4 linked regions of the Tamandua tetradactyla genome follow. The protein of the gene in region 2 purifies or fractionates together with the protein of the main gene of each other region. This does not show direct contact. Links are inferred from orthologs where the notes say so. Each region holds a gene or a part of one and is shown on either strand. Other genes may lie near its edges.

Region 1 (7,604 bases), on a different chromosome or scaffold from region 2:
GTCTCCAACTATTATGGTATATGTGTCTATTTCCCTTTTCAGTGTTTGCAGTGTATTCCTCACATATTTTAGGGCATTCTGGTTCGGTGCCTAAATATTTATGATTGTTATGTCTTCTTGTTTAATTTGTTTCTTTTATTAGCAGATAGTGTCCTTCTTTGTCTCTTTTAACTGTTTTACATTTGAAGTCTAATTTGTTGGATATTAGTATAGCTACTCCTGCTCTTTTCTGGTTGTTATTTGCATGATATATCTTTTCCTAACCTTTCACTTTCAACCTATGTTTATCTTTGGGTCTAAGATGTGTTTCCTGTAGACAGCATATGGAAGGATCCTGTTTTTTAATCCATTCTGTCAGTCTATGTCTTTTGATTGGGGAATTCAATTCCATTAACATTTAGTGTTATTACTGTTTGGATAATATTTTCCTCTACCATTTTGCCTTTTGTATTATATATATCATATCTGACTTTCCTTCTTTCTACACTCTTCTCCATACCTCTCTCTTCTGTCTTTTCGTATCTGACTCTAGTGCTCCCTTTAGTATTTCTTGCAGAACTGGTCTCTTGGTCACAAATTCTCTCAGTGACTTTTTGTCTGAGAATGTTTTAATTTCTCCCTCATTTTTGAAGGACAATATTGCTGGATATAGGAGTCTTGGTTTCAGTTTTTCTCTTTTAGTAATTTAAATATATCATCCCACTGTCTTCTAGCTTCCATGGTTTCTGCTGAGAAATCTACACATAGTCTTATTGGGTTTCCCTTGTATGTGATGGATTGTTTTTCTCTTGCTGCTTTCAAGATCCTCTCTTTCTCTTTGACCTCTGACATTCTAACTAGTAAGTGTCTTGGAGAATGCCTATTTGGGTCTATTCTCTTTGGGGTGTGCTGCACTTCTTGGATCTGTAATTTTAGGTCTTTCATAAGAGTTGGGAAATTTTCAGTGATAATTTCTTCCATTAGTTTTTCTCCTCCTTTTCCCTTCTCTTCTCCTTCTGGGACACCCACAACACGTATATTTGTGCGCTTCATATTGTCATTCAGTTCCCTGATCCCCTGCTCAAGTTTTTCCATTCTTTTCCCTATAGTTTCTGTTTCTTTTTGGAATTCAGATGTTCCATCCTCCAATTCACTAATTCTAGCTTCTGTGTCTTTAAATCTACCATTGTAGGTATCTATTGTTTTTTCCAGCTTTTCTACTTTGTCCTTCATTCCCATAAGTTCTGTGATTTGTTTTTTCAGTTTTTCTATTTCTTCTTTTTGTTCAGCCCATGTGTTCTTCATGTCCTCCCTCAATTTATCGATTTGGTTTTTGAAGTGGTTTTCCATTTCTGTTCATATATTCAGCATTAGTTGTCTCAGCTCCTGTATCTCATTTGAACTATTGGTTTGTTCCTTTACTGGGCCATATTTTCAATTTTCTGAGCATGATTCGTTATCTTCTGCTGGCGTCTGGGCATTTAATCAGATTTCCTTGGGTGTAAGACCCCGCACGTTGAAAGATTTTTCTTTGAAATCTCTAGGCTCTGTGTTTCTTATCCTGCCCAGTAGGTGGCACTCGTGGCGCTCATCTGTCTGCGAGTCCCACCAGTAAAAGATGCTGTGGCTCCTTTAACTTTGGAAAACTCTCTATATGGGGGGGGTCACCAGCCGAAGTGGCTTGGGGAAGTGCCAATCCGAATCTCCAGCCGACCCGGGGGTCCGCACGCGGGGAGGGTCACCGGCCTCCGCGGTTTGGGGGAACACCTGTCCAAATTTCCCAGCTGGTCTGGGGCGCCAAGTGTGGCGGGGGGGCGCCAGCCGCTGCGGCTTGGGGAAGTGTCTATCTACCATTCCCAGCCGGACCGGGAAGCCACGTGTTTGGAAGGGACCCCGTTCGCTGTTCTCCGCGGCTTGGGGATCTCCGATCCAATTCTCCCAGCTGGTCCAGGGGCCGCGCGTGGGGGTGGTGCCAGCCGCCGCGGCTTGAGGGGACCACCTGTCCAATTCTCCCAGCCAGCCCGGGAAGGAGGGAGGGAGGGACCCCGGCTGCCTGCCGCCCCGGCCCGGGGAAGCCCGCGCCCCTCGGCGATCTCACCGGAGCGTGTGCTTCCACCCAGTCAGCCATTCCAGAATGGGGTACGCTGTCTTCTTGGTCTGTGTTGTGGCTCCGGGAGCTGTTCTGAATCGTTTCAACTTCTCTAGTAGCTGTTCTGGAGGAGGAACTAAGACCTGCGCGTCTTACTAAGTCGCCATCTTCTCCAGAAGTCCTCGACATATGGTAACTTTAATTGTTTGCAGAACTAGCAGACTGTTTTCCAAAGAGGCTGCACCATTTTACAATACCATCAGCAAACTATGAGAGCTCCAATTTCTCCACATCTTTGACAACACTTGTTATTTTCTGTCTTTTAAGTTTATCCATACTAGTAGGTGTAAAGTAGTATCTGGTAATATTAATTTGCATTTCCTAATGACTAATAATGTTGAACATCTTTTCGTGTATCACTAGCCATTTGTGTATCTTTTTTTACAGAAGTATCTATTTAAGCATTTACCATTTTAAAAAATGACTTGCCTTATTTTTATTGAGTTGTAAGAGTTTTTTAAAAAATATATTTTAGATACAAAACTCTTATCAGGTGTGATTTGCAAGTATTTTCAGGGTTGTCTTTTTATTTTCTTGATGGTATCCTATGATGCACAAAAGTTTTTAATTTTGATAAAAGTCCCATTTATTTTTTCCTGTTTTGCTCATGCCTTTGGTATAAAGCCTAAGAAGTCACCACTGAATACAAGGTCTTGAAGGTTTCCCTATGTGTTTTTTTTAGGAGTTTTACAGTTTTAGTTCTTACATTTAGGTTTTTGATTGATTTTTAATTGAATTTTGTATATGGTGTGAACTAGAGGTCCATCTTCATTCTTTTGCAAATTGCTGTCCAGTTGTCGCAGCACTATTTGTTGAAGAAACATTATGTAATGTTCAGTGAGTGGGCATAACATCTTTGTTAAAGAGTAGTTGGCCAAAGGTGTGAGAGTTTATTTCTGAACCCTCAAATTCTATTGGTCTATATGCCTGTCCTTGTGCTAGTACAAAGCTGTTTAGTAATAGTTGTTTGTAATAAGTTTTAAAATAAGGAAATGTGAGTCCTCCAACCTTGTTCTTCTTTCAAGATAGTTCTGTTGATTCTGGGCTGCTTATTTTTCCCTATGAATATGATGTCTAGCTTTTCCATTTCTGCAAAGAAAGTTAGACCACTGAATTTTTAAAACATTTTTATTGTGAAATATAACATATATATTAAAAAGCATTAGATTTCAAAATAAATTTTAACAAGTAGTTATAGAGCAGATTTCAACGTTTGGTATGGGTTACAGTTCCACAATTTCAGGACTTTCCTTCTAGCTGCTCCAAGACACTGGAGACTAAAAAGAAATATTAAGGGTGGGCCATGGTGGCTCAGCAGGCAGAGTTCTTGCCTGCCATGCTGAAGACCCTGGTTTTGATTTCCCAAGCCTGCCCATGCAAAAAAAAAAAAAAAAACAACAACAAAAACAAAATATCAACACAATGATTCAGTAGCCCTACCCATTTGTTAAACCCTAACTTCCGTGTTATAACTCCTCCTTCTCCTTTGATCCTTCTCCCAATCTTTAGGGATATTTGAATTATGCCCATTGTAACATTACATGTTGAAAAGGGTGTGGACAACATGGGATGGGGGATGGAACTAGTTGATGTTCTTGGAGAGACTGGCATCTCTGGGTTTCAGGACTTAACTGGCACAGGAAGTATCTGAAGGTTTTAGGTTTCTGAAAAGTAAACTTAGTGCATCAACTTTTGTAAGAGCTCAGATAGAGCCCTGGCCGTTCTTCAGAGTTAACAGGAATGATGTTGGCTGGGGTTTGGCAAATTGTAGCAATTAGCCATATCTAGCTGAAGCTTGCCTAAGAGTAGCCTCCAGAATAGCCTCTTCACTCATTTGAACTCTCTTAGCCACTGATACCTTATCTTTCCCCCCTTTTAGACCACTGATTCGGAAAGGTATGCACAAAACTACAATTCACTATGGAAATGATCCTAAAGATGTATGCAAATAAGTGCTCAGGAGTTCATAGCGTCCTGAGTAGTAAAATGAAAGGCCCCTTTGGGTGTAAAGACTTAAGTGGGAAAGGGGAGCGAAACAGGGATTCTAGATATTTTGCATTTATTTCAATGTGGCATCTATTTCAAATTTGAAAAAAATTATTTGATTAAAAATAGAGACAACGCACGAATCTGTACTAAGCCATGTTTCCGTTTCCAGTACAATGGACACTGGGGAGGGTTGAATTGACGCGCCTTATGCAACAGGCCAGGAAGGATTTCCTGATGAGGGAAGAGAAAGAGCTCGGATTCATCACCAAGGAGAGGAGAGCGGTTAAGGGACGGGGTGCACATCGGTCCCAAACCTCGAATCGGAGAAAAAAAACGAAGAACACTAAAACCAAACCCTTGCTTGCGTTCTTGAACCGGCAGGGTCACTTCCGGAAGGAGGCGGGGAGACACGGAGGAGGCGTGTCGGGAAGGAGTCCGTTCGCAGTGCACAAGGCGGAAGTGTGCCAAAGGTATAGGTGTCGCCGCTTCCGGTCCGGGTAAACGCGGTTTAGGAACACTCCGAGGTTTTTGTCAGGCGGCGATAGATTTCTGAGGGAAAGCTAGCGGGTGAGGAGTGGGGCATCAGCGTCCGGACTCAGAAATTTGGAGCCTAGTGGGAGAATCGGGGAAAAAAGGGCAGGAACCTGAATACGGTCTCACTGCTGTTTCCGAGGGGTCACTTTCCATTGGGAACCCCTCTGCCCTGGTAACGGCCAAAGAGGAGGAGATGGCGCCAGTCAGGGAGCGGCCGTGGCCGAGGCAGTGAGGAAACGCGAAGGCGGAGCTACTGGAGAAGCCTCAGGAGAAAAGCCACAGCCGTCGCTGCCGCCACTGTTGCCTCCACCATGGAAGGGACAAAGCCGACGTTGCAGCTCGTGTATCAGGCAGTGCAGGCGCTTTACCACGACCCAGATCCCAGCGGAAAGGAGCGCGCCTCCTTTTGGCTTGGGGAGCTGCAGCGTTCGGTGAGGGGCCCAGAGAGGCCGTTCTGTGCCGCGGGGCATTGGTGAAGTGGGCTCTAGGCTCGAGGGGGTAGCCGCTGTCTGGCAACTGGCCTGGTGAGGTCCTCTTTGGGGAGGAGCTGCTGCCGCGGGGTGGGGCTGCGAAGCTACTTATTGCTGCTTCTCGGAAGCTAATCGCAGCTGGTCGGTCGGTCGGTCGGTCGCGAACTGGCCCTTTTCTCACCCCGTAGAATCTGATTTGTGTGTCCTATCCTTCTTGCTTGTGACATCGATCTGGTTCTCTAAGTTCTAACCTTACTGTTTCTTAAGCCCTGCTTTCCCGTTTTGTCTTCCTTCAACCCAATCCCATCTCCGTCTTTTTCTTTAGGAATGTTTTATCAGCCTCTTCTCCCTACCCGTGTGTTGCATCTGGCAGTTCCTTCCCAATCGTTACCTTACTCACACCTTACTGTTCTCCTCGATTCTCTCTCTTTTTTTTTTAGTAAAATACAACTTTAATATTGAACTATTAAGCAAATTTTCCAAAAACCACCTGAACACAAAGGAAAAGAAATTCTTTTAACCAAAATACCATTAGTGTGGACTAATTTTAACCGAAAGAACATAAGCTCTTTAAAACACCAATTTTAATCTGATAATAAAACAAATTTTAGAAGATATATGCTACTAATCACAAATGTTACCTGTTAAAGTGTTCTTATGGGAAACTAAATGTTTGAAACAAGAAACTCCACCATTTAGAATCTGACACAAATTAAATGTCTAAGAAGTCTCTGGATATCCCTGCAAATTTGGGATAGAAATGAATATGATGTCAGTATTTTTATTGTCAGTATCTTCCATACAATAATGAGGTTTGACCTTTTTCTAATAATGTGTATTTATAATTATTTTCCTGAAAATGATGAAGGCATTAAAAACATGCATGCATTAACTATTCAATCTTATGGTACTCTTTAAAGATGAGTAGGTAGGCTAGAATCATTTTCCCTTCTCAATTTTGCTGTGCTATGTACTATGTATTATCCATTGATAACTTGTTACAGGTCTTTAAAGATTTTATCATTTGGTTTGGTTTTCCACATCACACTTCTTGATTTAAAGGCCTCATCAAGCCCAATTGTCCATTCCACGGCGTTGTGGCCCAAATTATTATTCAGCTGCCATAAGTGATAGTTCCATTTCCATTCTCTGAGGGCAGAGTATGGTAGTCTTCTTGACTTACTGATATTGGGTAAATGTTTGTCACCACTTGATTGAATAGCTCAGGGTTCCTGGGACTTCTACTGCCATTTTCTTGTAATGTGGGCATATCAATAGCTGAATTGCTTTGTGCAATAAAGCGCTCACCTTTGGCAGTAGTAATCAAAGCTCCTCCTTAGAACTCCATTTGGAGGGCATCAGTGTTCCAGGTTACATGTCTCTTTTTCAGGCCAACCATTCTTCCCCTTCTTTAGGACATGCTGGATAATAGCATACCTGGTTACACTCTAAGAGATCTCTTACCACTTCAGTCATGGGGATGTAGAGTCCAAGGTCTGTAGGGCAGGCCACAAGCTAGTAGCTCTGATGAAGTTTCTCAGCAAACTCTCAGGAGAGGCTGGCTGGACAACCGTGGGAATTGAAGAGTCCAAAATCCGCAGAGCAGGCTGTGAAGCTGACAACTCACTTGAAGGGTCTGGATGAACTCCATAGGAGAGGCTCACAGGCTGAAGCAGGAAGGACTGTCTCTTCTGAATCCTCGCCTAAATTAGTTTGAGTCTGTTATTCTCGAAACTTCTCAGGTTTCCAGATTCTTATGCATATGAATTTCCCCTTGTTTTGGGGTGTGATACAGTGTAAGTTAAAAAATATCAATTCTGGTTTCAGAAAATCTCATTTTGCTGCATAGTGGTTTTCTGGCCTTTTCACTTCTCTGACTTTCAGGTTCTTCATTGGTAAAATGCGTATAATAGCTTCCTTGATTATTCCATAGAAATATTGTGAGCATCCACTAAGGCATTTGAGAAAAGTCCTTTATTACCTCTAATTATAACCTATTATATTAGTTGTTTCAGGTATCTTATGATTCCTCTCCCTGATTTTTACACTCTACTTTGCTGTCCTTTATTTCTTTGTGAGTTTGTGTTTGCAAAGTATCTTGGAAACTGAAGCGGCTGATACAAACCGACAAACTACTTTTCTTATGTTTGCATTTTATGCTCCCAAGAATTTTTTTTTTAATCCTCCTCCTCCCCTTTTTTTAAAACTCATAACTGGTACTTAAAATGCTCAGCTCTGGGTGGGCCGCGGTGGCTCAGCGGGCAAAGTGCTTGCCTGCTATGCCGAAGGACCTCGGTTCGATTCCCGGCCCCAGCCCATGTAACAAAAACGGAGAAACAGAATACAATAAAACAAGAAAATGTTTAAAAATGTTTCCCTTTCTTCCTTCCTTCCTTCCTTCTATCCTTCCTTCCTTCTCTCTGTCTTTCCTTTAAAAAAAAAAAAAAAAAAAATGCTCAGCTCTTTAAAATCAGCTCCTAGGC
Region 2 (7,548 bases):
CCCCTGTCTATGTGGGACATGACTCCCAGGGGTGTGGACCTTCCTGGCAACGTGGGACAGAAATCCTAGAATGAGCTGAGACTCAGCATCAAGGGATTCAGAAAAACACTAGAATGAGTTGAGATTTAGCATCAAGGGATTGAGAAAACCTTCTTGACCAAAAGGGGGAAGAGTGAAATGAGACAAAGTGTTAATGGCTGAGAGATTTCGAACAGAGTCAAGAGGTTATCCTGGAGGTTATTCTTATGCATTAAGTAGATATCACCTTGTTATTCAAGATGTAACGGAGAGGCTGGAGGGAACTGCCTGAAAATGTAGAGCTGTGTTCCAGTAGCCATGTTTCTTGATGATAATTGAGTAATGATATAGCTTTCACAATGTGACTGCGTGATTGTGAAAACCTTGTGTCTGATGCTCCTTTTATCTACCTTGTCAACAGATGAGCAGAACATATGGAATAAAAATAAATAATAGGGGGAACAAATGCTAAAATAAATTTAGTTTGAAATGCTAGTGATCAATGAAAGCAAGGGATAAGGGTATGGTAGGTATAATTTTTTTTTCCTTTTCTGTTTTTGTTTTATTTCTTTTTCTATTGTCTCTTTATTTTTTCTGAATTAATGCAAATGTTCTAAGAAAGGATGAATATGCAAATAAGTGACGATATTGTGAATTACTGATTATATATGTTAATGTTTTATTTGGTTTAATTTTTTTAAATAAATTTTTAAAAATGGAAAAAAAATCTGCTCTATAACTTCTTGTTAAAATGTACTTGGAAACTTATTGCCTTTCTGTACATATGCTATATTTCACAATAAAAAAGAAACATCAAAAAACAAAAAAACAAAAAAACAAACCTATCAGCCCAGAGAGGGCTCCCCGAGGCCCCAGCCAAGCCAGGAAGGTTCGGGGAAGGGGAGCCTCACTTTCTGCTCTTGAGCCAGCAGCCCACAACGGCCCAACCCAGGCCCAGCGTGTGCGCCCACCTCTGCAGCACCTGTGCCTGCTCCGCCAGGGCCTCCAAGGCCACCCACAGATGGCCACCCAGCTCAGCCTGCTGCCACCTGCTCTCCGCCAGCCACACCCGCAGGTCCTTCTCTAACCACCTCCAGATCCTCTTGGGGGCCCTGCTGGGGCACCTGCCAGGAAGAGGGCATTCAGGCTGCAGCCAGAGCCCCAGGGGGCTGCTGCGCCCACCTTCCTTCTACTCACCCGCATGCCTCAGTGGGGCTCAGTGGATGGACACCATCCAGTGACTGGAGGTGACAGGAGTGCCAGGGACAACAGGTGGGACTGGGCACCAGCTCCATGGGTTCTACCTTGGTGGGTTCGCAGAGCAGGGCAGGCCAGAGACACTGGAGCCGGGCAGCCCAGGGCTATCGCCCCTGAGGGCGAACAGGCACTCAGACCCTCCACCTCCACGCCCCCCAGCCCAGGATTCTCTCTGGTGAGTCAGGCTTCAGAAACTCCCCTGCCTCAACCCCACTAAATGGTTCTTTAATTTTCCGTGAGATGCGGGTGCTGCCAGCAGGTGAGGCCACTTGCTGAATAAACATGATGTCATTTAAACCTTGCAGGTAAAGACTCTGAGGACATGGGACAGAAGCTCAGAAGCGGGGTGTCAGTTGCAAGAATTTCACTGCAGAGCTGGGATTCCTATCCTAGCCTGTCTGGAACCAAAGCCCACACTTCCCCCATCCCTGCTGCCCCTCAATGCTCCCCTTCCAGGTGTGGGGTCTTGAAATGGCAGGGGTCAGGGAAACATTTGCAGCCAGCATAGTTTAGCCATGATGTGGTGGTCATAGGCCCCCAAATCAAGCCCCCTGCTCTGGTTACCTCTGTAGCTTCCACAGCTTCCGATGGGGGCCCTGACCCCATGTTCCAGTAGCTTGAGGTGGGAACTCATGGTACAGACAGGGGTTGCTAAGCTAGTCTTGCTCCACCCACTCCTTCTCACCCCACCCACTCCTTCTTTTGGGTTTGAGTCCTACCATGGTCCCCTCCCTTGTTCCTTTCCCCCAGGTACCAGGTACCCAGGGAAAAGTGAGCGTGTGGCAGGGTCCTGGAAAGCCATCTTCACTTGAGGGGAGGGGAACACTGAGCTGAGCTCCCCCCTGCCCAGCCCACTCCTCTCATTCCCAGGATGGCACCAGCAGCCCCCAGACCCTCTCCCATCTAGTCCCAACTCCATGCCCGCATTCCCACAGCCCCCTCCTGAGTTGTCTCTACTTCTCACCACCACACAGGCTTCTCCACAATGGACCATGAGGACTGGCCCCAGCCCTCACTGAGAACCTGCCCTCCACTTGGCTGGGTTCTAGAGGGGCTCTCCATCTGCTGGGGAGACGGACATGCATAGGTCAGTCTGTTGAGTTTGGAGACCAGCCCAAAGGGACAGCACAGCCACTGAGGGACCAAGGCAGAAGCACAAAGCTATGGGGGCAGAGGAAAGAGCCGCTTGACTCTCCCTTGGGGTTCCCAGCAAGGCTTTCAGGGGCAGTGACCCTAGGGTTGTGGCCTGAGGGTGAATTAACTACTCCCAGAGAAGGCAAAGATGGTTGCAGCAGAGGAGAGAGGACGAGCAGCACGAGAGGGGCTCAGAGCAGCTGGGGCTTGGATAGGGGAAGGAGGAGACCAAGAGGGGCAGGGCTGGGCCCTAGAGAGGAACTATAGGGCCAGGTTGGCTGAGGGAGAGGAACAGGGCAAGGGTATCTCCTGAGCATCCTTGAGTCCTCCTGCCAACCCAGACCCACACAGAAAAGAGATTGGGTCTGAGGGGCAGGTGGATATGAAGCAAGCCTCCTCTGAGGGTGGGCCACCCCCTGAGCTCCTAGCTGTGAGTTGCCAGGGTCTCTTGTCAGGTGCCAGGCAGTCAATGAGCACTGGAGAAATGACTTCGGTCTGTCAGGATGGGGTGGGGGTGTTACCCATATTGCACCTCAGAGTAAATCTTTTTCCAGGTACCTATCTGATACTCTGGCTGCAGAATTGGGAGAGGGAGAGCTGCTTAGTTACTGGGAGACAGAGTTCTCTATGGTGGGAGGCCGACTTACCCCTCCAAGCCTGGCGCCCAAGGCAAGGCTGTGGACAGGAATCTCCACCATTCTCAGCTGCTGGATAGACTGCGGCCTAGCTCCCAGGAGCCATGGAAACCACGGGCAACATTAGCTGGTGGGAGGAGACGCCACAGAGCCCTCCCACCTCGCCTGAGGGGATGAAAGCTGGCTGGTGTGGCCACTACAAGGACCCGGCGGCTGGGAAAGGCATCTCGGGGCACGCGGGAATTTCAAAATCCCGGCCCCTAAGCAGGACCCAAAGCAGCAGGACCTGGGACGCGACCGCAGGGCTCCGGGTCATTCACTGCACGCACACGAATCAGCAGCCAAACATCTATCCTGGGACAAAGGAATGCGGACGGGCGGGGCGGGGGGAGCATCTGATTGGAAGGGGACCCAGGGGCCGGTCTTGAAGCTGCCTTTGCGTCACAAGCATCCCATTTTTACTGAGTTTCCTGGGTTTATTTGGGGTGCGGGGGGTGCTGCCAACAGATCTGCGGTGTATTAAGCACTTCCTCTAGCCATGCTGTCAGACCCCAATTTAAGAGGAGCAAAAGGGGAAAAACTTTTAAGACCGCAGTTACGGAGAGGGAGGATCTCTTCTCACCGCGCCTGTCGGGCCAGGAAACCGCGCCCCCACGCCAGGAACTTGACCAGTCCTCTTGAAGGGGCGAGGCCAGCACTGCAAGGATGGGGAAACCCTTGCTACCCCGAGGCAGTGGGGGTGCCGAAGCTTGGAGGGATAGCCCGCCTCGCCCGCTCAGGCCGGGCGGGGCAGGGGGGTTCTAGCCCCCGCGTGGCGTCGGGGCAATTAAGAACCACTCCCTTCAGCTGGGCTGCTGGACGCCAGCGAGAGCCCGGAGGCGGAGACGCCACAGCCTGCCCAGACCCGGCGCGCACGCTCACAAACCGTGAGGTCTCCCGAAGGACCCCGACCTCGCTTTTCTCATCTGGAAAAGAGGGCTTCATAATCCCGCCACGCACAAAGCGATGGACGGTTATTGGGAAGCGTTATGGTGATCTCACACTCGCGGCCCCGCAAAAGGGGGATGTCGGAGAAATGGCCAGGTTTATAAACAGAGAAACAATGTTGGCCGGTAGTGAGACGCTCAGAAGGTGCTAAAAAGAAAAAGAACACCCCTTTCCATCCCAGACCCCGGCCCCTCCAAGAGGCCCACCACGTGGCCCTCGAGTATTTTCCCGGGAAATTGGTCTGCGTGCAGGTACGAACTTCGGCATGCCGACATTGTTTAAGGCTCCCACCCAGAGAATGATTCTCCCTTTGCTTCTTTTCCCTCACCCGGAGTCGCCATCGCATTCCTTAGCCTCTGCGCTTAGGCCTCCATCTTTCGCGCCCTCCTTTGCCCCGGGGCCAAGCCACGCCGACCGCCGCTCAGCTCGCCCAGTTTTCACTGTTCGCACAGGGAAGGGGTCGGCGGACACGCGCGAATCGGTGCGCGAGAGCAGGCGGAGCTCCCTCTGCGGAGACAGCACACCTGGAGGGCCTGAGAATTTACGTGCATCGCGACACGGTATGAGGCGGGGGGGGGGCCGCGACCGGAGACGCACCCCCGGCTCTCCCGGAACTAGTCTCTGCAGCGCTGCAGTCAGGACCCGGGAGGGGGAGGCGGGTCCCCCAGAGCCTTCGAGTCAAGGGCTAGAGCGGCCGAGTCACCGAGCCGGGTAGAGTCGCGGCTGGCGGCGGCTGCGTCACAAGAAGGGCGGGGCGACCACGGGCGGAGGCCGGAGCCGGAAGCGGAAGAGGCGCTCAGAGCGGGGAGTGGGGCCTAGCCGCAGCGGGAGCCTGGGAGACGGTGAGTGTGGGCCCCGGGCCGCCGCGGCGGCGGCTGCAGGGGCAGTGAGTAGGGCGGGGGGATGAATTGGGCAGGGCGAGCCCTGGGTGCGGGTCCCCGGTCTCCCTGTTGGGTCTCGGCCTACTCCTTTTCTTTCTCCTCCGCCTTCCTCAGGCCGCAGCCCCGACCTCTCACCCCTGACCCGCCGCCTCCCCCACCCCGGGGGGAGGTCGGTCACTGCGGACCTCGACCTCTCGAGAGCCCGAGGGGTCGGAGTCGGAGCCAGAGCCAGAGCGGCCTCTGAGGTCCCCTCTCCCAGCTTCTGCAGGGATCCAGTTTCGGCCCTGTGCCTGCCTGCGGAATGGGATCGGAGTCCGACCTAGGATAGCTGGAGGGGCCTTCAGACCCACCCTTTCCTGTTCTCCGATTCACAGACCCCTCCTCTTGCGGCCTGGAGTTTGATTGTGGCCCAGGCCAGCCTTCCCTGCTACCCCTGCGGTCCTCCCTCGGCGCCATTGCCGGCGGTTACAGGGGATGGGGCTATGAGATCCTTGGGACCTGGGGCGGCAGGAACAAATGCGAGCGAGGGCTGCAGGCGCCTCTCCGTGTTTTGTTGTGGTGGTGGATCCGCTCCAGCCCTTGGGGAGGGGCCAGGCCAAGCCGACCGTACAAATGCCCGGGGTGCTGCTCGGCCGAGGAGTCTTCTGTGCTTTAGTTCCGGGTGCGGGTCCCCCAGTGTGGACCTGGGGTGGGTATTGCCTGAGAGAGGCCCCTGTCGAGGCGGAATTGGCGGCCTTCCAGCTTTCCTCCTCCGTGCCCTTGAAAAGGAGGAGCGTTTCGCCCGGTGGTGGCGGCAGCTTGCGAGGTGGCAGGTTTGAGGTTGCAGTGGTAGGGCAGAGCCAGCCAAAAATAACCATGGGGCGTTGGGGTGGCTGGGATCCGGGAGGAGAGCCGCTGACCTGGCTGGCTGCTCTTCCTGTCAGCCCAGTTCTCTGGCCAGTAGCTGCAAATGAGAAGGCGACTAGTAGGCCTTTGTTCAGAGAACTGGCATCCTCTACCTGGTTTTCTTTAGCAATCCCGTTTTCACCGTGCAGAGCAGAGCCTCCTAAAGCCTAATTGTACCCCTTAGCCATAAGCAACCTGTTGGGGTCTCAAGAGAATCAGAGACAGTGGATAAAGAATGGGTCCTAGTGCCCTTACTGGGAGGATGAGGAGGGGGAGTTGGCTATTTCCAATATCTTACCTGCCTAGAATGTGTTAAAGGAGAGATGATTGCCCCTATCATTGCCTTGGTGTATGGTACATTATACCTCTCATACTGTCCTTTTATTTGCCAAGTTGGCTGGTAGATGTTGTTATCTCCATTTTCCAGGTATGGTAACTAAGGCTTAAAGTTACTTATATACGGTCATGAGGCCAGTAAGTGACAGCTCTGGGATTTAGTTCAAGGGTTTCTGCCTAGAGCTTTCTCTCCCCAAGTCCCTTAGAAGGGACTCACAGAATGTTTTAATGTTCCTAAGGCATTTAAACACAACCCAAAGTGTTAACCTAGAACTTTCTGCATTCTGCCAATAGTAAGTTGCCTGCAGTGCCTTTTGTGGTCCCAGACCTGTGCTAGGCCCTTGACTTATAAGAGAGCTGCATTCAATCCTTACAAAAGCTTTTGAGAGATTATCATCCCCATTTTGCAAGGGGAAGCTGAAGGTTAGAGCAGTTAAATAACTTGCCCAAAGGCACACAGCCAGAAGTGGCAGTACCAGGATTCAAACCGACACCTGAGTATGCTCTTTCCACTAATGTAAACATGTGTGTATATATGTATTTTCTAGGTGCCAGGAGGGAATTTTTGGCCTGGTATGGACTGGACCAAGTCTTCTGGTGCTTTGCCTGCCCAGTGAGGATAAGCAGGGTCACACTTGCCTTGTGGGAGGGCCTGGCATATCTTCCTGTCAGTTAGTGAGATGTGAAATGTTTTCATTCCATAGCCTGGGCAACTGCCTCCAGGTAATTGCAGGAAAAGAGTGAAATATTAGTCAGCTGATCATCAAAACAGGACAGGAATCTAAGCTCTTGGGGAGGTGCCAGTGAATTCACATAGTATTTTATCTCCGAAGATTAATGAAGCTGGGCCAGTATCACCTCATGGACTCCAGGTAGAGAGGGGCAGCGGTTGTCTTAGGATCACAGAGAAGCTCCAGGGGGTTTGTCAGATCTGCCTTGCTGCTGTTCCATGCTGTTTTCCTCCTGACAGATCCTTTTGTTGAAATGGGGCAAACTCAGTGGTTTTGGCCTAAAGTAATGCTCAAAGGTGAGCACAGGACTGAGCATGCCTGGAGGGTAGCTCTGGCCAAGTGAAGGGTTGGAAAGGAGGCTGGCCTCTGTCTCTGGCTTGGCCTTCCCATGGAGGCAAAGTCAGGATTTTGGGTGTGGGTGGGACAGAGAGCTCACATCACATAACTACCTTTCTCGGCTGGTGACTGATTCAGCCTGGTGTTCCCAGTGGTGGATATAAGTCGCTGCTGAATAGAGATAGTGGGGTGGAGCCCTTTTGGCCTGCCTCCCTATACAGACAAGCCTGCCAGACAATCAGCCGCTTGGATACTCCTGAGGTGGCCCAGGAGTGGATCCTAAAGCAAGGGCGCTAGATAAGGGGGCAGTAATGGAATGGTGGAGGCAAAGCGCTCGGCAGGTGGTCT
Region 3 (7,491 bases), on a different chromosome or scaffold from region 2:
GATATGGGCAGGCAACCATGGCTCAGCAGGCAGAGTTCTCACCTACCATGCCGGAGACCCGGGTTCGATTCCTGGTGCCTGCCCATGTGAAAAAAATATGTATATAATGATGTGCTCTCATTAACAATGTATAAATTAAACTGTTTGAGGATTTCTTCCATTCAGGGTTGGAGGCAGCCTGTTGCTGGGTGAAACAAAACTGCATCTCCTAGTTTGTCTTTAGATTTTTTTTTTTAATTTAAAAAATAGCAATATATTTCAAAGCGTGGTATCACAATTAGTTGTAGAACAGATTTCAGAGTTTGGTATGGGTTACTATTCCACAATTTTGGATTTTTTACTTTTAGCTGGTCTAAGATACTGGAGACTAAAAGAAATATCAATATAATGATTCAGCAATCATACTCGTTTATTAAACCCTACCTTCTCTGTATAAGTCCACCATCAACTTTGATTTTTCTATCCCGTTCTTTAAGGGTTTTTGGGCTATGCCCATTCTCCCTTTTTCATGTAGGAAGGGGTTTGTCAATAACATGGGGTTGGAAGATTGAACTCGTTGATGTTCTGGTGAGGCTGGCCACTCTAGGTTTCAGGACTTATCTAGTCCAGGGACCCATCTGGAGGTTGTAGGCTTCTGGAAAGTTACCCTTGTGCATGGAATCTTTGTAGAATCTTATAGATTGCCCTAGGTGTTCTTTTTTTTTTTGGCAGGAATGTGTTTGGTTGGGGTTTGGCAAGTTATAATAGGTAGCAATGTCTAACTGAAGCTTGCGGTAATAGTGACGTCCTGAGTAGCCTCGTAACTCTATTTGAACTCTCTCAGCCATTGATGCCTTATTTCTTACACTTCTTTTCCCCATTTTGGTCAGAATGGAATAATTGATCCCACGGCGCCAGGACTGGACTCATCCCTGGGAGTCATCTCCTATGCTGCCAGGGAGACTTTGACCCCTGGATGTCATGTCCAATGTAGGGGAGAGGGCAGTGATTTCATTTACAGGGTTGGGCTTAGAGTGAGTGAGGGGCACGTCTGAGCAACAAAAGAGGTTCTCCAGAAATAACTCTTAGGCATACCTATAGGTAGGCTAAGCTTCTCCGCTATATCCATAAACTTCATAAAAGTAAGCCTCAAGGTCAAAGGCTTGGCCTATTGATTTGGGTGTCCCCATTGTTTGACACAGTATCAGGGGTTTCCCTGGTGGTAAAGTTTAATGGTTCCATATTTTTTCTCCCATTCCTCAAGGGACTTTGTCAATATTTTTTGATTATCTACTTAATATATTCTAGGATGTATCCAAGCATTTCATTAAGCTATACAGGGATTAAAGGCCTTCATCCTTATTCTGGATTCCCTTTGTTTCGATTGTTTACTTCTTTCTCTTTTTATTCTTTGAGTTACCCTTACTGGTACTCTTCAATTCTGTTCCTTCCTCCAGACCTCCCTCTCTGTTTTTTGTTTTTTGTTTTTGTCATTAATGGAGGAGTCCCTTTTATTTTCCCAAATTTTTGCAAAGTATTACATACTTGCACCTATAATATAATTCAGTAGAAAATTGTTTCTGATTGCCAGGAGTGAGTAGCACCAAAATATCTTTGGCTTATCTTTCTAAACTAGTGGAGTGATATGTCATTTTCAAGTTTTTTTTGCATGGGCAGGCATCGGGAAACAAACCTGGGTCACTGGCATGGCAGACGAGAACTCTGCCTGCTGAGCCACCGTGGCCTGCCCAATTTTCAAGTTTTTAAATCTACCCTTAAAAAGACCCATATTCCATTCTTCAAACATTTACTTTTTATAGTATTCTCTTTTATACATGCCAAAATGAATGTAATCTCCCTTTCCTGAAAGAACTTAATTTTTTACATGGATTTTTTTAAGATTCATAAATAAAAGTCAATTAAAATATTCATTCACATATCAGCATTTACTGAGTACCTGTTAGGTGCCAGGCTGAGTATTAGTGGGATGCATTAGCATAGCAGAAGCACACAATACACTAAATAAAAAGTGGAAAGGAACTTGTAAGTGATATTGTACCACTCTAGTAGGGTTATGACCAATTTATTACTAAGTCATTAGTCCATATTTTTTAAGCTCATCTTCCACTTAAATACAATTAATTTACACCCATATACTAAGAATGACATGTGGTCCAGGTATATTCAGAAAGCAGGGTTTTTTTTTTTTTGCCTTTCTTTGCAGAGATAGGATTTGAGGTGCTTTTTACTGATGATTCTTCTTTTCTTATTTGCATTTACCTCATTTGCTATCAGTGACTGTTCAACATGTTCTTTGAATATTGAGCAGAGCGGTTTGGCTGCTAAAATGATATAGGAGTTTTGGTTCTCAGGAGGCACTATGACAGCAAGTTTGTCTCTTCAGATATAAACTGATCGTTTTCTCCTGCACTGGGGACTTAAACGCTATGCCCTATTCCCATTTATACGTGAAGGCAGGCAGCTGTACAAGTGGAACTTGAGCCCAAATCACAGGGTGTTATAACATATGAAATTTGAATGTGGCAACTGTTATTCAGACCCGCCTCTCTTGTCTTTTTTCAACTGGCAGAACTCCCTTTAGTATTTCTTGTAGGGCCAGTCTCTTGTTGACAGGTTCTTTCAGAATTTGTTTGTCCGAAAATTTTAATCTCTCCCTCAGTTTTGAAGGACAATTTGGCTCGTTATAGAATACTTGGCTGGAAGTCTTTCCCTTTCAGTATGTTAAATATATCATACCACTGCTTTCTTGCCTCCATAGTGCCAGTTGAGTCTAAACTCAGTCTTATGTGGTTTCCCTTGTATGTAGTAGATTGTTTTTCTCTTGCCCCTTTCAGGATTTTCTACTTCTCTTCAACATTTGACAGACTGATTAGTATGTGTCTTGGGGAAGGCCTATTTGGATTTATTGTATTTGGAGTTCATTGAGCTTCTTTGACTTGCCTATTTATGTCCTTTATAAGGGTTAAGAAATTTCCCCCATTATATCCTCAACTAATCTTTCTAGCCCTTTAGTCTTGTCTTCTTCTTCTGGGATACCAGTGATTCTTATATTTGTGTGTCCATCATTTCTCTGAGATCCAATTAAAAATTTTCCATCTTTTTTGCCATTTGCTGTTTTGAGTGTTCAAAATTTGTTGTCCTGTCCTCTAGTTTGCTTATTCTTTCTTCCGCCTCTTCGGATCTGCTTTTGTGTGTCTCTAGTATATATTTTCTTTTTTTTTAAATTTTAAAAATTAAACAAAATTTTTTTTTACATAGGCAGGCACCAGGAAATGAACCCAGGTCTCTGGCATGGCACGCGAGAACTCTGCCACTGAGCCACCGTTGCCTGTCCTCTAGTATATTTTTTATTTGGTCTGCAGCATCTTTAATCTCTGTGAGATCTGCTATTTTTCTATTTATTTTTTCAAATTCCTCTTTAAGCTCTTTTGGTGTCTTCTCAGTCTCTTTGTATCATTAGCCATCCTATTTATTTTGTTTAGTAGAGCTGCTTGAATATGTTTTGATTAGTTGTTCCAAAGTCTGTGTCTCTTCTGGTGTTTTAATTAAGTCATTAGGCTGGGTTATGTCTGCTTAAATTATGATATGCTTAGTGGTTTTCTGTTGTCTTTGAGACATGTAAATATCTTGATAGGTTTACTTTGTAAGTTGATTTCCTTTAGTAGTCTAAAACTTTGTGTTGTGGGATGGATGTGGAGCAGGATGTGGGGCTTGGGGTGGGGCACAACAGTGCGGTGATGTGTTGCAGCTCAGGTATAGGCACAGAGCAGGGATACTACACTGGTGCCTGTGAGCATGGGGTGTGGGTCATGGGGTTGTGGAGGTGCAATGCAGGAGCTGATGGTATCAGGTGCAGCTCAGGCAGACTTCGGAGCACAGGAGCAGGGTGCAGCATGGGGGACACATAAGTAGAGTGCAGTGGGAGGTGGATGGGGAGGGTGTATGGATGTATGGGGGCTAGTGTGTAGGTAGGATATGGTGGGTGCGTGGGCATGTGGGGATCGTGGATATCAGGGTATAGGGTATGGTAGGTGGCACAGAGGTCAGGGCACCATGGGAAGTAGGGTGCGGGTGTGTTCTTGTGCAGAGGAAGTGGTCCAGTGGACCCTGGATGTGGATGTGGGACCAGGGTTGTGGGACGTGGTGGTGGTGGCACTGGTTGGGTGGTACCCTGGCGCAGGTATGCAGGTGTAGAAGGGTTCGAGCAGATGTATACGCATGTGCAATCTGTGGTGGCTATGTAGCACAGATTTGCCTGTGAGCATCTGCCAGGTGTGGGTGCAGGGCGCTTGTGCCTGGAGAGTGGCGCAAGTGTGCACATTTGTGGGGCAGGGGGTTGGGGTGCAGGGGTCAAAAAGTCAATGTATGAATGTGTGGGTTCCCAGAAGCAGCGAGGATATGGCTGTGTTTGTGCATAGGTCTGGGAAGTGGTGCCCTGGTGTGTATTGTTACATGGTGTGGGGCCTTTGTGTGCACATGCGCAGGGCTCAGGGGCAGTGGACTGGGGTTGCGCCTTTTTGGACTAGGAGTGGATGTGGCCCAGCTGTGCAGGTCAGCGCTTGCCTAAAGCTGGGGGTGTGACTGGTGGCCGTGCATATGCGTGGATCTGGGACGGCTGTAAATTGATGTACACATGCACAGAGCTCAGGGGGGCAGGGTGGGGTTGCGTGACTGTATAGGCTAGGGTCAGGTGTAGCCTGAGTGTGAAGGTGAGTGCCCACAGCCTTTATGAGCTGGCACCAGCCTGCATTGGCCAGGGAGGAAGAGGTGGTTTCTTGGAAAGTGCCAGGAGAGACTGTACTTGTGCTGGGGAGGTGGGTTGGGCTGGGGCAGAGCAGGGATGCTTGGAGCATGCGAGTGGTGGGCAGATGATAGGGTTCAGGTACACGGGGTGTGGAGTGAGTTGCAGATCGCATACTGCACCGGTGAGGGTAACAGGTTCAAGGAACACAGCTTGGCTTCCTTCCTGGTCCCTGTCTCCCTGTCTGTGCACTCCTGAGGACTTTCGCATTAGGCTGTTTGCACCAACCAGACATTCTCTGGTTCTCTGCTTCTCAGTTCTTCAGTTTTTGCAGTCAGGGCCTCCCTTTGTGGTGTAGAAGACCCTCCTAGGTCACTTACACCCTGGGATTGCTAGGTTGCTAGGTTGAAAGTTTCAGTTACTTTCTCGTTCCTTCTCTAACTGTTCCTTGGAGCAGGGTGAACCCGACCTGTCCTATTCTACCATCTTCCCAGAGCTCTCCTCTTTAGAATCTTAATTACAGTTCTCACTTGAAATTTTTTTCTTGTTTGTAGACTGTCCCATTATGGATGGAGGGGATGATGGTAACCTTGTTATCAAAAAGAGATTTGTGACGGAGGCAGAACTAGATGAACGGCGCAAAAGGAGGCAAGAAGAATGGGAGAAAGTTCGAAAACCTGAGGATCCAGAAGGTATATAAGCTTATGGTTTGGCATTCAATATAATGATCTTTAAACCTCACTACAGACGTGGAAAGTAAGTATTGATGTCCTCACTTTAGAGATGAGGAACTGAGGGTCAGAGGGGTGAAGAAACCAGTGGATGGCCTCCACAGCTGAGAGTGGAACCAGAATACTCATGTCTTTGTCCTTCCCACTCTGCTGTACTGCCTTCCAGGGGATTCTGCTGGTTATCCATCTATGCATGTGTACATTGTGGATACCTGTGTGGACTGTCAGTGTGTCGGATCCAGGGTCTGAACAACGGAGAATGCTGTTGCTGTGGAGGCTTTTATCTGGCCCTCATCCAGTTAACGGTTCCAGGCAGTGGGCCCTATCAACATTGATAGTTGGCTTTGAGAACCCTGGCCCTTCTCTGAGGTCCAAAGGGAAGCTATAGACTTTGTGCTATTTTTGTGTTATCCTTATCTTCCAATTCTGTAGAGAAGACTGGACTTTATCTTTAAAATCCCATGGTCCCAAAATAATGCAGAAATTCTAAAGTATGTATTTTTTTTTTCCTTCTCTCTTTCTCTCCCCTCTTCTTCCTTTCAGAATGTCCAGAAGAGGTTTATGACCCTCGATCTCTATATGAAAGACTGCAGGAACAGAAAGACAGGAAGCAGCAGGAATATGAGGAGCAGTTCAAATTCAGTAAGCCTCAGAAAATAGAGTCCAAAGGACTCTGCAGGGCCCCTCTGATGCACTTTTGCCTCATGCAATACTTTTTCTAACTAGCCATGGAATTGTCTTGTCTAGTCTTCAGATGCTCATTCTATAGAAAGGAGACAGCTTTCTGCCTTCTATACCACATTGAAATATTTTTTTTTAGAGCTCAAGATACCCATTTTAATTCTATGCTAATATCTTATAATCATGAGAATGACTTGGTTTTATGCCATCTTATCTATCCAAAAGCCATGGTGTTTACCAGTTCTTTCTTCTAATTCCCTGATGGATCTTCTGTTTATTACTAAAAAAAGGAAAATCTTATTTGGCTATATTTTTCCTTTAGACTTCTAAATGTTCCTTGCTTAATTATTTCCTCAGAAAACATGGTAAGAGGCTTAGATGAAGATGAAACCAACTTCCTTGATGAGGTTTCTCGGCAGCAGGAACTAATAGAAAAGCAACGAAGAGAAGAAGAACTAAAAGAACTGAAAGAATACAGAATATCCTTTGTACTTTGAGAGAAATTTGTGAAGTGTCACAGATACATGGAATGAGTCTGCTTGGTGATTTCTAAGGCCCCTTTCAACACTGATACTCCTGTGTCTCTGAATAAATGGCTGCAATTTGTGGGGGATATGTTGCATGCAATAAGAAGTCCATATCGTTTAAGATTAACTGAAGGCATAAATCCTGATAGTCAGCGCCAGGGTATTCTTACCTTGTGGACTTAGACCCTGAGACAGATGAATGATGAAATAAACCTCATCTAGGGGAAAAATTGGTTTCGGAGTTTTGAAAGGAAATGTTTAGTATCTCTCCTGTGTTCTTAATGAGACCTACCCCATAGGTACAGCATAGAACGGGGCAATAAATGTTTGAATAAATTAATGAATGAATGACTGAAAGGAAAGGTTAATAGAGACACCCTACCATTTTTTTCCTTTGTCAGGAAGCTTATTTGGATTTTTCACATATGTGAAATAGCCTCACTAGTATGATTGAACAGGTTTCACCTTTAAAACTGAGGATTCTGTGTATGTGCTAATTGTTAGTTTCTTGCAGGTAGGATATAATAGGTTCCATTAAAGAGTAACGTGGGAGAAAACATGGACAAATTTCCTAGGGACTTGGTTTAGATCAAGGTGACAGTGATTGAAATAAGGTGGCATCATGGTGCCACAAAACCCATTCTGAACTGGTAGGGAATGACCTGGCGTCCAGTCCCTGTTCTGCTAGTGGCTTTCTGGTACAACATTACAGTAGGAGTTGATGGAAAATTATATCACCTTCATGAATCATAGTTTCCTTGTGTACAAACGGTGGAATTGAGACTAATTTTTTTGAACCCCTTTCCTTGCT
Region 4 (6,854 bases), on a different chromosome or scaffold from region 2:
ATTATCTACTTAGTTCCTATCATGGAAGGTTTAGTTGTCTTAAAGTGCCCCCCTCTCCTCCAAACATATACTTCTCCTCCCACATTCCCCCAATATGCTTCTATAAAAAATTTTTTGTTGGAGGAATATTCAGTGTTTATATTGTTGTGACTATAAATTTTACTCACAATCGAGCCACGTCACATAGTATGATTACTATGATTACACTGTTTCCTGGCAATTTTTCTCTCTTGAATTTATCAATTGCCTTTCCCCACCATGTGCCTAGTTTTCTATATTCCTATCATGAATTTTCACCACTCTTGAGAAGTGTAAATCTCCTCACTTTCAGTCCCACTAGGTATGCTATCATATTTTTTGTTTGTTTGTTTTGCTGACAGTCTTTCTAGGGCCCTCTGTCCTCCTATGTCCTCATCTGGACTGGGTGTTTGTTAGGCCTGCTCCATTGCTGTTATTCTGAAATGACACTGTGGGCATTCCCTTTGTTTCTTTCTTAGGTTGTCTACCTGCTTTCTGGATCTTAAGTCTTTCTTGTTTTACTCTCTGCATTAGCCATAAAACATCCTCCAGTAACTTCCACAGAAATGGTGCATGGCAAGTATTTTTTTTCTTTTTTAGAGCATACAGGTGAAAAAAAAACAACTCATATTTCTCCCTCACAGTTGATTACGGTTTGCCTGGGTGTAGATACCTAGGTTGGGAACCACCCTCTTAGAATTTTCAGGGCATTACTTGTCTCTGGTGTTTTGGAGATATTCAACACCATTACATTTCCTTATCTTTCATATGCAACCTATTTTTTTCCCCACTCTTTAAGAATTTCTCTTTGCCCCATGTGAAACATCTCATGAAATTTCACAATAATGTGCCTGGCAGTGAGTTATTTTTCATACATTGTGCTGGGCCATCTGAGTTTGGAAACTCAGGTCCTTCAGCACTAAGAAATGTTCACATTATTTCTTTATTATCCTCTTTTTCCCCCCTGTTCTTTCTGGAAATCCTACTGTTCAGATGTGGGATCTATCCTCCAACTTTGTTATCTGTTCTCTCCTATTTCCATCTCACCCACTCAAATCTTTATGCAGTGCATACTATATGCCAATCATTGTTGTAGATACTGAGGACATAGAAGGAAGCAAAACCGAGAGAAATCTCTGACCTCTAGTCAAGGAATACAGATAATAAGCAGAATAAGTAAGTAAATTATAAAGTATATTAGAAAGGGATAAGTGCTGTGGAGAAAAATAGAACAGGGAAAGAGTTTAGGGAATTCAGAACACGTGGCTCAGTAATTTTAAATAGGGTGATCAGGAAAGAGCATACTGAGAAAATAACATTTGAATAAAGACTGAAAGATGAGGGCAGCAGCCATGTGCTTATCTGAGAAAGAATGATCCAAGTAGGAAGACGAGGATACACATAAGCCGAAGGTGGGGCAGGCAAAGGCAGAAGCAGACCTGGTGTGTTTAAGATATAGTCAGGAGGTCAGTGTGTCCAGGGAAGAGGGGAGCAGGGGGACATAATAGACCGTGAAGTCTAAGAGGTAAATTGGTAGTGGTAGGTGGACTTTATAATGTGAATGACATGGAAAATCACTGGAGGGTTGGAGTAGGAGACTGACTTTTTATGAATCGACTGACTTTTTTTTTTTAACAGGATCACCACAGCTGCTGTGCAGAGTATAGGGAGCAGGGATGGAATCAGTGAGAACATTTAGTAGCTACTGCAATAATTCAGGAGAAAGCAAAGGTGGCTGGAACTAGGGTTCTTTTATTCTGTTTCCTGGGAGAGTTCCTTAATTTATTTTCTAACCCTTGTATTGCATTTTTCATTTCTACTTAAGAATTTTTAATTTCCAAATATTCTTTCTTCATTAATGGATTTTCTTTTTCTTTTGCTCCCTGATGTGATCTTATGTCTCTGTGGATATCATCACGATTCTTTTGATGTATTTTTCTTCTACTCCTTTCATTATCTCTGGTTTCTCTGAATTGCTTTTTTTTTTTCTTTTAGTGTGTATGTGTGTGTGTGTGTGTCATTCCTGGTACAAGTTTCCCTCAAATACCTGGTAATCATAGGAAGGAGGCATTAAAGAACTGGGTGGAAACTGTGAGTGGGATTTGCTGACTGATTAGCTTCTCTGTGGGATAAATGGGTAAGAACATGTTCTTTTTTATAGGAGGCATCCCTCCCTCACCATTGCTAGTACTTGTACATTTTTTTCCCCTATGCCAGTCAATTTCCCCATAGAGGGATCCTCTGGTCTTTTGCCAGGATTAGAAACCCAAGTGCCAGGTCTCTCTAATCAAAATGTAGGCTTTCACCTACTCCTTCCATTTTTTAAGCACGGCACTCCCTCCCTCAGCTGTGCCAGACATGTCAAAGTCCAGAGTCTCTGTTTCAGCCCTTCTAGAGAGTAAACTTCCAGTTTGCTCCTGGGGGGAGAAGGAGATATAGGTTTTAACTGCTCTGTAAAATGCCTTGCAACCAATCCTCTTGTTTTCAGCCTCATCCATACCCTCACCTTCTGAGGTACGTGAAGGTTTTCTGGTACTTCTCAGTGTCAATCAGCTTGTTTCTTGGTTTCCTCTATTTTTAGCTTTCTTTACTAGAGCCATTTCCATTTCCTATGTTCTCTAGCTTCCAAAACTTGGTTGACATCTCATCTGCTGTTATCCCTTCTGATCTCTATACATATGAACTCATGCCCTTCTCATTCTTTTATTCAAATATCATTTTAGTGGGGTTTAGAGAGGTAATGGAGGCAAATGTGTGGTGTGTCTATATAATTCAATCTGTGACGTTTATCCTCAAGTTTCTTTACAGCGTTCTGTGTGTTCTATCTCCCATTAGATGGGGAGCTCTTTTGACTGTTTATAATTGTTTGGGCTGGAGTTGGGGTAGGGCAGAGGGTAACAAAGGAATAGAAGATACACACTCTTCCTCCAAACATTTACATTCCATTTGACTTTTTCAGGGAAGGGTAAGGGCCATTTTTTCCATTGTGTGATTTCTGTCAGCCACCCTTTTTCAAAAGCAGCGATGTCCTGCCAAACCTGTGTTTTGTGTATTTTGGCTAAGGGTGTTGGAGGGCCAGGTGGAGTCACCAGGAAGGTCATAGGATGGGAAAATCTGATTTAATCACACAAAGTCGGTGCTGAGCAGAAGCCTAGAGATTATTAAATTCATTTTTCTTAATACTGAGGCCCAGAGAACTTTAATTGATTTGGATCAACTTCAGTCCTTTAAGAAATAATACTTATCTCAAAGGGTTGCTCGAAAATGCCAAGCTTTTTCCCGTCATAGGACTTTTGGGTCAAATATTCCTTCTGCCCAAGACCTTACAAGGCGGGCTCCTTTCTGACCCTCAGGACAAAGGTCGTTTCAGAGGTTTGTCCCTCTCATCACTGCACTCAGTTTCATTTTTTTAACAACTCATTAAATTAAATTTAAAATTATATAATGATTTTATTAGTTATCTGACTACACCCATTGGAATGTAAGCCCTAAAAGAGAAGGGATCTTTACAGACTGTCACCGTTTTAGCCCTCAGAGAGAACTGGGATTCGAAACTGAAGTCTAGCTCTAAAGCCTGCGCTTGCATCCACTACTTCATGCTGCTGACAATAAAGTAGAGGGTGGACCTCGCATACACAGATGGCTAAAAGAAGATTTCACACCGGACAGACAGGCAGGTGGAAAACAGCCAAGCCCATCCGCACCTCTGACCTTTCCCTCCGGAAGCTTTAGTAGCCTCGAGCGCGAGTACGCACGCGCATCCGCCGAGCTCGCTCTGGGTCGTGCACGCAGCAGGGACTTGAGGGAGGGTACCGCCTGCGGAGCTTGAAGGCGCCTGCGCAGCTTGAAGGCGCCTGCGCCGGCGGGTCTCCCGTCAGGACGCGCGTTCTCGTTCCCTCCCCTCTCCCTTGCTTGCGCGCGCCCGGTGGGCGTAGGAGGAGGCGGGGAACTGGGGAGGAGAGCGGAGGGGGCGGTGTTGCCGTGAGGAAAGGAGCGAACCGGAGAGTGTCGTCCTGAGAGGAGTGAAGGCGGCAAAATGGCGGACCGCTTCTCCCGCTTCAACGAAGACCGAGACTTTCAGGTAAACACGGGCGCCGCCGAGGAGCCGGGGAAGACGCGGCCGAGCCCGGAACCTCCTTCATCCCCGGCTCCCAGATCTCTTTCTTTCCAGGCTCTGCTCCGGCCTCTGAACCGACTCGTTCTCCTCCCGCCTCCGATTCCTCAAGGGGCCTCCCAGCTTGAGGCGAGGCCGCATCTCATCTCCGTGCATTCTCTTACCTCTTAAAACTCAGGCCGCCAGCTCTGCGGCTTGGGCCTTTTTGGGCTTCGAGTTTTGGAACTCCAGCCTTGCGAGCTGGGTGAAGGGCTGTGTTTCTCTCCAGTTTGCCAAGTCTGTGGGGTCGCAGGGCTGACTCGTAGGGGAAAAGAGGGTTGAGAAGGTTTGCGGCGAGTGCTACTGAGGCCTGGGCTCCCAAACCCTTGGATTTTGCTCACACGGATCTTCTTGGGGGTGCTTCTCCGCTCCTCTCTCACTGTAATAAATAAATCCATTTTATAGCCTTATTTTTCCATTCCGCACCCGAAAAGAGTGTCTTGGTTATCAAAGCGTTCTTAGTCAAGCATTGAGATTTCCCCGGGCATAAATGTTGCTGTTGTTATTAGGCTGTTAATTGGGTTTGAAAAACAGTAAGTTATAGGACTACAGCCCATGTAAACTCGATCAAGTGAAAATCCTACCTTGAAAAAAGATTTGTAATAAGCATTATGATAGTGGGCTTTCCAAGCTTTTAATAACTAGTACCAAAAGCTTGATTTTTCTTTCTTCAGTTGCGGATATTGGTATGGAGAAACGTCCTTGCAAAAATTGTTGAGGAAAAAATTCTAGCCAAACTAGAATAATTCATCCTTTGGCTGTTTAAAATACCTTGCTGTTACAGAGCATCGTTACCGTGGAAATCTGGGAGACTAAAAGAGATTTAGAGAAATTGGGTACTTCTGGGATAAAATATGTCCTCAGGGTCTCAAAGAAACAACTGCATTACTGCTGCATATCCTGGCAACAACAATTTGGGTCAGGGGATGAACATCAGAACTCAAGTTTTTAATTCCACTGCAGATCTTCCTCAAAGCAACATGGGAATATGCTACACGTGTTTCAAAAGGCAGTTTGAGGGATTTGAATTTCCTGAGATGATTGCATTAGTACATAGACAGGTAAAGCAGTCTAGCAGTTTTAAACTAATATACTGTTAACTGTCTAGTACATAGATGTGAAGTTTAGCGGCAATAAGGGATCTGGGGGCTGTTGAAAAGCTTTATGATCATGTGCCTGTTGAATAGCTGCAGAAAATACAGGGTCTCCAGGTGTTTAAAGGGTATAATGCAGGTCCAGCTTAGTTTGAAGCAGTTCTGATGCCTGAAAAAGGTTATTTTTAGCAAGTACGGTAAAGCATTAGACTGCAAGGTGTGGACTTTATTGGTAATTTTTAAAGAGACAGATTGATAACCCAAGTGCTTATTAGAGGAGAGAATTTCAAGGTGACCTAATAAAATTGAAAATAGGTAATGTGGGCAATTAAATTTTGAGGAAAAATGGCTGTCAACCACAGGATTCCAGCAGGCTTCAAAACAGAACAAAACATACATACACACAGGATTAGCAGGGCCTTGAGAGAAGCTTTTGAAAACTGAATAGCAAAATATGAATGCTATCTCCTGGGAAATGGGAAAGATTAGCTTCTAGCTTTACAATACCCAATTTCTTGGTAAGATGATCCTCTGGTGCTGATGCTTTAGTTGGGTTTATGTCATGTTGATCAGTTGGAAAAATGTTTTTTATTCAGACGTCCTGCCATTATGGATAAATTGGGTATTGGGAATGGAAATCATTTAGACAGTTATGAGATATTAAAACTTTTATAAGTTATTGTGCTAACACTTATAAAAACATTCATTTAAAAATACTTAAAGTGGTGTTTTTTTTTCCTGAGGAATATAGATTGACTTTCACAAATGATGTGCCTTTATTTACAGTTCTTGGAGAGGAGAATGTGATGTAATAGGACATATCTGCATATAGTGTATTTGAAACATTTTCAAGTTCAGGTTATTCAAAATTAAATGTGACTTTCTTTTAAGTTTTTAAGTGGTAAACAAGGTGAAGCTACTGACTATTGTGGCTATTTTGTTTGTGATAATAGACTCGGAAACAAATCCAAAGTTCGTTTCCAAACAGTGGTTAGATCTTGTTGTTTTAAACAGATCTTACAGCACTGGAAATTTCCCTATACCGTCTTCTCTGGTAAGTTCTAAATGACTCTTACTTTGGGAAGATAATTTAGAATTTTAGGGTTTCATTCTTTGCCCATTTACTATCACGTGCAAATGCTAGAGGTTTTGAGTATTGTCTCATGTGCCAGAGAGGTGGGCTCATTGATTAGATTTTGTGAAATAACACCTAAAGTTGATTTCAGAGGTATTTTTGTATAATATAGCTAGAATCCTGTATGCTGCTTGAAGCATTTATTAATGGAGTAATTGTTATGGACATACGTAAAAATTTTTTTGATAATTATAATAATAAACAGGCACTGTTCTACAGGCTTTATGTGTATTATCTCATAATCTTTTCAATACCCCTAGGAGAAAGGTGTTGTTATTACTCCCATTTTTAGATGGAGTAACTCAGAGAGTTAAGTAACTTGGCCAAGTACACACAGCTGTTAAACGGCACAATCTGGTTATACTCTAGCATGGTATAAGCTAAAGACTCTCTGTTGACAATTGCTGTATTATCTCTGTTGACAATTATATATTTTATGTAGCTGTACTTGAGT

Evidence for each region.
Region 1: the proteins of CLK3 (region 2) and TNPO3 purify together in Homo sapiens (affinity purification with mass spectrometry; 4 studies listed by BioGRID and IntAct, counting the BioPlex papers as one, with this or other methods). This does not show direct contact. The link is inferred for Tamandua tetradactyla from reciprocal best matches to the Homo sapiens genes CLK3 and TNPO3.
Region 3: the proteins of CLK3 (region 2) and PSME3IP1 purify together in Homo sapiens (affinity purification with mass spectrometry; 3 studies listed by BioGRID and IntAct, counting the BioPlex papers as one, with this or other methods). This does not show direct contact. The link is inferred for Tamandua tetradactyla from reciprocal best matches to the Homo sapiens genes CLK3 and PSME3IP1.
Region 4: the proteins of CLK3 (region 2) and GPATCH8 purify together in Homo sapiens (affinity purification with mass spectrometry; 3 studies listed by BioGRID and IntAct, counting the BioPlex papers as one, with this or other methods). This does not show direct contact. The link is inferred for Tamandua tetradactyla from reciprocal best matches to the Homo sapiens genes CLK3 and GPATCH8.

The regions. Positions count from the first base shown.
Region 1 is NC_135327.1:170,509,773-170,517,376, reverse strand, and holds the start of TNPO3 (transportin-3), read left to right. Parts: upstream 1-4,597; 5' UTR 4,598-4,962; coding exon 4,963-5,082; intron 5,083-7,604. UniProt on the Homo sapiens protein: Importin, which transports target proteins into the nucleus. Specifically mediates the nuclear import of splicing factor serine/arginine (SR) proteins, such as RBM4, SFRS1 and SFRS2, by recognizing phosphorylated SR domains.
Region 2 is NC_135338.1:67,430,602-67,438,149, reverse strand, and holds the start of CLK3 (dual specificity protein kinase CLK3), read left to right. Parts: upstream 1-4,530; 5' UTR 4,531-4,873; intron 4,874-4,879; exon of another isoform or gene 4,880-4,917; intron 4,918-7,548. UniProt on the Homo sapiens protein: Dual specificity kinase acting on both serine/threonine and tyrosine-containing substrates. Phosphorylates serine- and arginine-rich (SR) proteins of the spliceosomal complex.
Region 3 is NC_135342.1:50,863,294-50,870,784, reverse strand, and holds the start of PSME3IP1 (PSME3-interacting protein), read left to right. Parts: upstream 1-4,476; 5' UTR 4,477-4,532; coding exon 4,533-4,551; intron 4,552-4,709; exon of another isoform or gene 4,710-4,814; intron 4,815-5,295; coding exon 5,296-5,433; intron 5,434-6,015; coding exon 6,016-6,114; intron 6,115-6,510; coding exon 6,511-6,633; intron 6,634-7,491. UniProt on the Homo sapiens protein: Promotes the association of the proteasome activator complex subunit PSME3 with the 20S proteasome and regulates its activity.
Region 4 is NC_135332.1:22,913,062-22,919,915, forward strand, and holds the start of GPATCH8 (G patch domain-containing protein 8), read left to right. Parts: upstream 1-3,837; 5' UTR 3,838-4,054; coding exon 4,055-4,099; intron 4,100-6,854.